Linked DNA regions of Canis lupus familiaris. The protein of the gene in region 2 interacts with the protein of the main gene of each other region in a biochemical or structural test. Links are inferred from orthologs where the notes say so. Each region holds a gene or a part of one and is shown on either strand. Other genes may lie near its edges. The genes, in order: KLHL6 and RC3H2.

Region 1 (4,502 bases), on a different chromosome or scaffold from region 2:
GATCAAACCCCTATCAAGGAGATTCTGGCATATCCACTTAAACTGCAGGTACATTTCTCCTTGACTCAGCAAACCTTCTTCAAGAAATGCACCCCCAGGTACTCCTGCATGCATATAAAATGACATGTAGAAGGTTATTCATTATGACATCGGTGTATAGTAAAAGATAAGAAACAATCCAAATGTCGGTCAACAGAGGACTGGTTAAATACACTATGGTTCAATCATTCCATGGAAAATATTTATGTTTTCAATGAATAAAGAAAAAAAACCTTACATAATTTAACAGGCCCTCCCAAGCACAGAGGGCTGTGTCGGAAGCCTCTCAGACACAGCAGACTCTCTGCCCTTCCGAAGTGCAAGCATAAAAGGAACTTGGCTCCCAACCCCTTTCAAAACCTTAGAAACAAAAGCAAGACAGGCTGTGAGGCAATGTCTGATTTCATGTGAGTCCTAGGTCAAAATCCCACTTGGTCACTTTATGAGATACTCTGGGCTTTGGTTCCTCATCTGTAAGTGGGGATAAAACTACCCCACTCACAGGGTTGCTGTGGGATAGTGCATGTGACACAGATGGCACAAAACTTTGCTCACAGTAAGTGTTCAATGACAGAAATTATTCTTCAGAGCAGTACTAGAAAAAAGAATCCTGTCTCCAGGACTGTGTTTATTATAGGAGGAAAGTCATCTTAGAAATACCAAGATAAGAATCAAAAGTCACTGCTCTGAAGAAAAGAATAAAAGGAATTTCCCTCCATAACCAGGCAGTTTTGGAAGAGACGCTTCTTACACAGGCGTACATACCATGTATGCAGCCTCCAGCATCTCATTGTTACCAACTCCTCTGAGGACCAGTAGACACTTACCCTAAGTATCCCACATCAGCATGGTTGGAAGGACCTGGGCCCAAACACCTTCCAGTTAGGATGAGAAACCCAAGGACCAGAGGAACCGGTGATCTACTTGAGAGCACACAGTCAGTAGTCCTGTTCCATAAGCAGGACAAACCACTAACAAAATTGCTAATAGGGTATAACTTTGTGTGACAACCATTTTCCAGTGATTAAAAACAGAATGAATAAACCTAAAAATGGGTACTCAGGACATTGATCCAAGAAGCTGACTTTCATGTACTTCTGAAAGTGATTGTGATCGATATAAAGATATGCTCAAAACTGGTGGGCAAGTAATGTGTTTATCTGTGTCAACTTGTCTTTATGACTGTGCCTACACATTACCGTTTATATAGTTCCTATGGAATGAAGCCTCAAATATAGTGGCAATTTGTATTTTAGTAAAAACAAGGATTTCTAGAACATGCCCAATCCCTGCTCTAGCAATGATTACATATGTGAAGTTGGGTTTCCATTTCCTCATTCGTAAAAGGGAACATCAGCCACCTTTACCGCACTACTGCAAAAATAAAATCAGATAACTATGTCTGTCTGGCACATAGCAGGCACTACTTCTGCAAACCCAGGTGTCCCCTTGTCTTGTATACATATGGGATCTAATCATTCCACAACAATTCATTGACCCTGCTCTCTGAATTCCAAGGAAAAATTTCCCTCTAAGCATCTTAGAAAAATGAAAAAATAAAACACTTTCCATGATATTTACATCTGTAAATACTTTTTAATTTCCTCAGTCAGAACCAAGAGTTAAGAAAAATCTTATTAAAAAGAATGATAAAAAAACAAAAAGAATTATAAAGGTGTTTCTTTTTCAAGTTTTCCAAATACCTTCTTCATCCTCATTTCCCTTGGGGACTGGTTCCCACTATGTCTACACTGATCTGGAGAACTCTGAATCCAGCCCTGTTCACTTCATTCCTGATTCTTCCACATTCCTATCCCAGGCATTTGCTTGTGGTAAACACTCAATAAATGGTTCTAAGCTGAACCAAACAGAATGAGGTGAAGACTTTCAGCAGACATAGTGAGCATCTACTATACTGTAGGCACTGTGTAAGAGCCTTTTCCTTCTCATATTTAATGATCACAACCCAGAAAAGTAATCATCATTGTCCCCAGCTTACAGATGACAAAACTCAGAGCATGCAGTGACTTGCCTCAAATCCCAATGTCAGGAAGGGCAGGACAGGATGGAACCCAGGTTTCAGAGTGTGTTATAACTGGGAGCCCCTCACTGCTAAAGCACCTTTGTTACTGCTTTCTTTTCCAATCCACCCTCTAAGTTTCAGCAAGTCACTCATAACTCCCAGAGAGGGGCCACAACCTTTTCTCTACATCTACTGGTGAACAAAGACAACATCATGTTTCCAACACACTAGTCAGACCAAGGGGGAAGAAATCCCCATGACTTCAATAATTTTCCATCCTTTGGAACAAAGACACATATCCAGAAGATTCCCCATAACATATAAATATTGCTTTTAAATTATACCAATCTCTCTTTTAATATGCCTTAAACCCTAAAATCTATGGTTTAATAGCTTCCTTCCTTTTATCTTGAATAGACACACAAATGTAAATAGATATCCAAAATGTACATACAACAACAGCTACCTAGTTAGATCAGGCTCTCACATCAATACCCATTTTCTTTAAACCTGCACCCAATTTGACTGTAATCCTAGGCGCGCTGACCTGAAATAGTTGCTGGCTGCAGCAAGCACCACGCGGTGGCAGGAGAATTCCTGAATGTCCACACACAAGATGACATCTGTCAGAGCATTTTCCACACGGAGGGTGTCCAGGCCATTCTGCAGAATTAAGGAGAGTCCCGTGTCATCGAATTTTACCTTATCCCCATTTAAGATTTCTACCAGGTCTCCCCTTTTCTGGGAGGGCTCATTTGTAGAAGGTGCCAAGGGCTCTTCCAAACTCTTCTCTACCACGTCGCCCATGGTCCAGGAGCCCCTTTGTCCTGCCATCTACATCCAGACTGAAGGAGCGCCCAAGCTTCAGGCAGGTCACATTGCAGAAGCTGGGCGGATTTCCTGTGCAGAGCCCTCCACTTATCACCAGCTGTCACACACACACAACAGGAAGTCTTGTACTTTCTCATCCTGTTACTACAAACGCCAGTAACTTCTATTCTTCTTCTTTCTGTGAGTCAACAAAAGGTTAGAAATTACTTAGAAGGGTTGTGTAGAAAGGGGCTCCACGAGAGAAGGGGTAGCTTCTCAGAGTCTGCTATTAGTGCTGTGGGGTTATTTTGGTCCATCTCCCCCTCATATCCGTGAGCAGGAAGCCTCTGATTCTGGTTATTACATTTGTACCTCTGGCATTTTTATAACCCAAGTCCTCAATGATAGGATGGGCAGGGAACATTATGCAATCTTCCCCCTCCCTCTTGTCAGGAGTCTGAGACCCCACGATAAGCCCCCACCCAGTCCCTTGGGAACTCTGGAAAACCCACTTATTGCTGGCATTCTCATTTATATCAGCACCGCACATATTCTGCCCTTGTCTTCCTCCCTGCTCAGGGGAAAACAATGTCATAGCAAATATTAATGTTCTCCCCCCGCCCCAAGAAAGTCTATTGTTTCAGATATGTCTCTGGGGACAGAGAAAAAATGGTCTCCAGAAACTCCATCCCCAGGGTCTTCTCTCTTAGTAGACTAATCAGGGTAGGTCAACAACAGATTACCCTAGCGAGTCTCCAACTGGTCTGATCTCACTCAGCATCTATTGGTCATGCATCTGATGGTACACCACAAAGTGTCTTCAGTACCTCTGCAGGTCTCTGTTAAAGAATAATAACTACCTTTTCATAAACTCCCACTATATTACAGATTAAAGAAGTTAATTTATTTTAATGTATTTTAATCCTTGTAAGAACCCAAGGGGGCAAATATGATTTTCCTCATTTTACAGAGAAGGAAACTGAAGCTCTGCTCAAGTGAGTGGGAGAACCCAAAGCCCGTTTCTTCCACCATCATCAGGCTAAGAGAGCTGTAATATCATGTTGGTCCTGACTCCTAGATCTCCCACAGAGAACCACAGGCCTTTTCTGCCGTGGCTGCTCCAGTCCGCAGCATCTCCCCAAAGGGGCCTTCGAGGTCTGGTTCCTGCTCTCATGAACCATCTAGCAGTGGGAAACACTGGCTGCTCTGATCAAAAAGGAGTCCCAATCCTTTCTCTGCCCTGGTCAGTAACTGAGCCCTCTTCAGGGGTCCTGGTTCTGCCTCAGCTCTTCTTCTCTTCCATGGATACTTATTCCTAATGTCAGCATCTTTGTTAACTCCCCTCTACCAGACTTGTGCTATATCCAGAGCTCTGTCAATCAAGACAGTTTGGTCTCAATAACAGAAAAGCCCATCAAAAGTGGTTTAAACAATAGAAGTCTCACATTATAAGAAACCAGAGATATGGAGTCCCAGGTTAATCCAGAAACTCAGTAATGTCATCAAGGACACAGAATTTTTCCATTTTCCCATTCTGTCATATTCTCAATGTGATGGAGATGCCACCTCATGATGACATAATAGCTGCCACAATACCAAACAATCCAAAAGCAGGACAGGTCTCTTCCTT
Region 2 (3,818 bases):
CTTTTTAAAAATTTTCTCTAGGAAAAAAAAATTTTTCTCTAGGAAAAAAATCTTTGTTTAAAGAATGAGTAAAAGGGGATTGGAGGGTTACATTGGTACCTGGGATTTGTTTGCATTTCTTTTTGCCTTCACTAGAATATGAGATCTGTTACTATGATTCTGTGACTTAGCAGTGGAAAGTTGGCAGTGAAATTCATTGCCTTATTTGTCACTATGGAAGTTTCTCCTATTAGTGGTTTCACTGTATAATTTTATGAAAAATTCCTACTGAGGAAGAAAACAGTTACAGACAGTGATTTATTCTTTGTTCTTGATAAATTATCTCTCCAGTAAAATTGGCTCTCCACCCAAGACTCCTGTAAGTAATGTAGTGGCTACCTCAGCTGGGCCTTCTAATGTTGGAACAGAGCTGAATTCTGTGCCTCCAAAATCCAGCCCATTTATAACTAGAGTACCAGTATATCCTCAGCATTCTGAAAATATTCAGTATTTTCAAGATCCAAGGACTCAGATACCCTTTGAAGTTCCACAGTACCCACAGACAGGTAAGTAATTTTAGACAATTCTAAGAAAAAAAAGAAACTGTAATATAACATTTCTTATCCTTAGATAAGTGAATCCCTTATCTAGAGTATCTACATTAAGAAATTTTTTTAAAAGATTTTATTTCTTTATTTTGAGAGAGAGAGAAATGAGAGAGAGAATGGGAGAAGCAGACTCAGCACTGAGCAGGGAACCCAGAGTGGGGCTCCATCCTAGGACTTTCGGATTATGACCTGAGCCGAAGAAGACACTTAACTAACCGAGCCACCCAGGTGCCCCGCTACATTAAATTAATTGGGGGCACCTGGGTGGCTCAGTCGGTTAAGTGTCCAGCTTTCGATCTCAGCTCAGGTCTGGATCTCAGGGTCATGAGTTCAAGTCCTGCATTGGGCTCCATGCTGGATATGGAGCCTACTAAAAAAAATAGAAAGAAAAAAGAAGAAAAAAAAATTAATCCTTTGGACTAAGCTTTCTTTCTGCCCTAAAAATCGATTCTACATGCCAGTAGTTTTAAGATTCTCCTTCTTACGCATGAAATATGGGGTCCATGGATGAACTTCAGGGAATTTTGTCTATCCCTTGAAATAATTTGCAGAATATTTGGTTTATATATGCTTCTGTATAATTTTGGCAAGACAATGTACAACTAATATAGATTCTGAAAGGTCTTTAACCTCTGCTCCTCAAAAGTTATGAGTTGGTAATGTAGCTAATTACTTAATCCAAAACCTGTGGCAATAGATGCCCTAGAAGGAAATTTGCCAGCCATCTGTTAATAGTTCTGTCTTGTGTTTTTGAGAAACAGTTTAACAAAATAGTGAACTTTAATGATTTTCATAGAGTAGGATTCTGAAAGTAATTTCTTTCTAAAGCAAGAGTGATTAAAGTTCAAAGCTTACTTTCTTTTCCCACATTAAAGGCTACTTTAGACTTAAACTTTTATAAGATGTTGGATTTTGCTGAGATTACATTAAATATTCCTCTTTCTAATTTTCAAGGATACTACCCACCACCTCCAACGGTACCAGCTGGTGTGGCTCCCTGTGTTCCTCGCTTTGTGAGGTCCAATAATGTTCCAGAGTCCTCCCTCCCACCTGCTTCTATGCCATATGCTGATCATTACAGTACATTTTCCCCTCGAGATCGAATGAATTCTTCTCCTTACCAACCTCCTCCTCCGCAGCCGTATGGACCAGTTCCTCCAGTACCTTCTGGAATGTATGCTCCTGTGTACGACAGCAGGCGCATCTGGCGCCCACCTATGTACCAACGAGATGACATTATTAGAAGCAATTCTTTACCTCCAATGGATGTGATGCACTCGTCTGTTTATCAGACGTCTTTGCGGGAAAGATATAACTCATTAGATGGGTATTATTCAGTGGCTTGTCAGCCACCAAGTGAGCCAAGGACAAGTGTGCCTTTACCAAGGGTAAGTAATGGTGGTGGAAATAGGAGAGTGCTACGGTAGTATAGTGGGTAAGAGCCTGCCGTCAAACTTGTCATACCACCCAGGTATAGGTTTCTGGCTCCTCCACTTATGAATTGTGTGACTTACAGAAGTTACTTGACTTCTCTGTGTCAGGTTTTTCATGTTTAGTGGCAGTAATAGTAGTACCTACCTCATAAGGCTGTTGTGAGGATTAAATTAGAAAAACAAAGCCTTTAGAACTGGACCTGATACATATTAATGCTCAATAAATGTTAATGCTTGGATAGGAAACTGATGGGAAAGTAAAAAGAAATCTCCAAAATACAAAGACAGGGCCTATTTTCAGTATTCCATGTATATAGAAATGACTTCCCTAAACCAGAAAACTGAGTGCTCAGATACTACTTTTAACATCGCTGGATGAAATATTAACCCTTCCATTTAAATGCGTGGAGAACAGGCTAAGGTGACTTCTTTACTGTTTTTTTTTTTTTTTTTTTGTCCCCACAATAATGAACTGTTTACATTATTTCCACAGAGCATAGTTAAATTTATTTACTGCTCCCTAGATGATTAAGATTGTTTCTTTTATCCCCCCTTAGGAACCTTGTGGTCATTTGAAGACCAGTTGCGAGGAGCAGATAAGAAGAAAGCCAGAGCAGTGGGCACAGTACCACACTCAGAAAACACCTCTTGTCTCTTCAACTCTTCCTGTGGCAACACAGTCGCCAACACCACCTTCTCCTCTATTCAGTGTAGACTTTCGCACTGATGTAAGAAAGGTCTTAATCACTTGATGTTGCAAGGACAGGTCAGACACCTGACCTCAGAATACTCCTTCAAACCAGGCTTAGCTATGTGGGCTGTTTTGCAGTGATTTGGTATACAGTCGAGTCAGTCTGCTTTGTTCTTTGAACACTGAGCATGTAATGAGCACTACAGTTAGGCATTGTAAGACTCTGAAGACCATGAAGTCAGTCTTTTTCCCACCAAGAATTGAAAATCTTTCCAGCAGTGTAGTTCTCATTGTTTTTTTGATTTTAATTAATCAGATTTATATCTACCATTTATTGAGCACCTACTTGTGCCAGGCACTGTACTAAGTATTTACATAATGTTATTTTATTTAATTCTCACAAAAATCTTAGGGGGCAGGTATTAGGTCTGTATTTTTTTTAGGAATCCTACTCAGAGAAATTAAGTAATTTGCCCAAGAAGTAAATTCAGCCTGTAAGTAGCTGAGATTTGAATCTTGGTCTAGCAGAGGCATCTCTTCCCTACTTTTTACAAGTGGTGCAGAAATGCCTACTGTTTTATTTGTGCAGTTTTACATCACTGTTAATGGTTGTTCTTGTTACAAAACAAGTTTTTGTACCAGGATCATTTCAGGGTGCCCTTTTTCAGTATTTTTATATGTTGAACAAAACATTATTATTTTTTAAATACCTCTAGCTTGGTTTATTTTCTATTCCTACAGGCTCTAATAGGAAAAAAAAAAAAACTTTTTAAAATCTTGTAATGAAAAATTTAAAACACATACAAAAGTAGACCCGGTAGTATAATAAACCCCCTGTCCCCTCATCCCCAATTATCTACTTAGTCTTGTTTCATTTGTACCCTCTCTTCCCTCTGGATTAATTTGAAGTAATCCTAGACATCATATTTTTTCATCCATAAATATTTCAATAAACCATTGAATTTTTTAACTAAATCCAAATTTCTCATCAAACTTAGACTTCTTTAGGGCTCCTGGGTGGCTTGGTTGGTTAAACGGTGGCTTTTGGCTCAGGTCATGATGTCAGGGTCCTGGGGTCAAGCCTCTCGTTGGGCTCCCTGCTCAGTG

What was found.
Region 1: the proteins of RC3H2 (region 2) and KLHL6 form a complex in vitro, tested with the Homo sapiens proteins (2 studies listed by BioGRID, with this or other methods). The link is inferred for Canis lupus familiaris from reciprocal best matches to the Homo sapiens genes RC3H2 and KLHL6.

Annotation. Positions count from the first base shown.
Region 1 is NC_049255.1:16,673,182-16,677,683, forward strand, and holds the start of KLHL6 (kelch-like protein 6), read right to left. Parts: upstream 3,024-4,502; 5' UTR 2,897-3,023; coding exon 2,610-2,896; intron 1-2,609. UniProt on the Homo sapiens protein: Involved in B-lymphocyte antigen receptor signaling and germinal center formation.
Region 2 is NC_049230.1:60,005,402-60,009,219, forward strand, and holds part of RC3H2 (roquin-2), read left to right. Parts: intron 1-330; coding exon 331-545; intron 546-1,541; coding exon 1,542-1,975; intron 1,976-2,577; coding exon 2,578-2,748; intron 2,749-3,818. UniProt on the Homo sapiens protein: Post-transcriptional repressor of mRNAs containing a conserved stem loop motif, called constitutive decay element (CDE), which is often located in the 3'-UTR, as in HMGXB3, ICOS, IER3, NFKBID, NFKBIZ, PPP1R10, TNF and in many more mRNAs.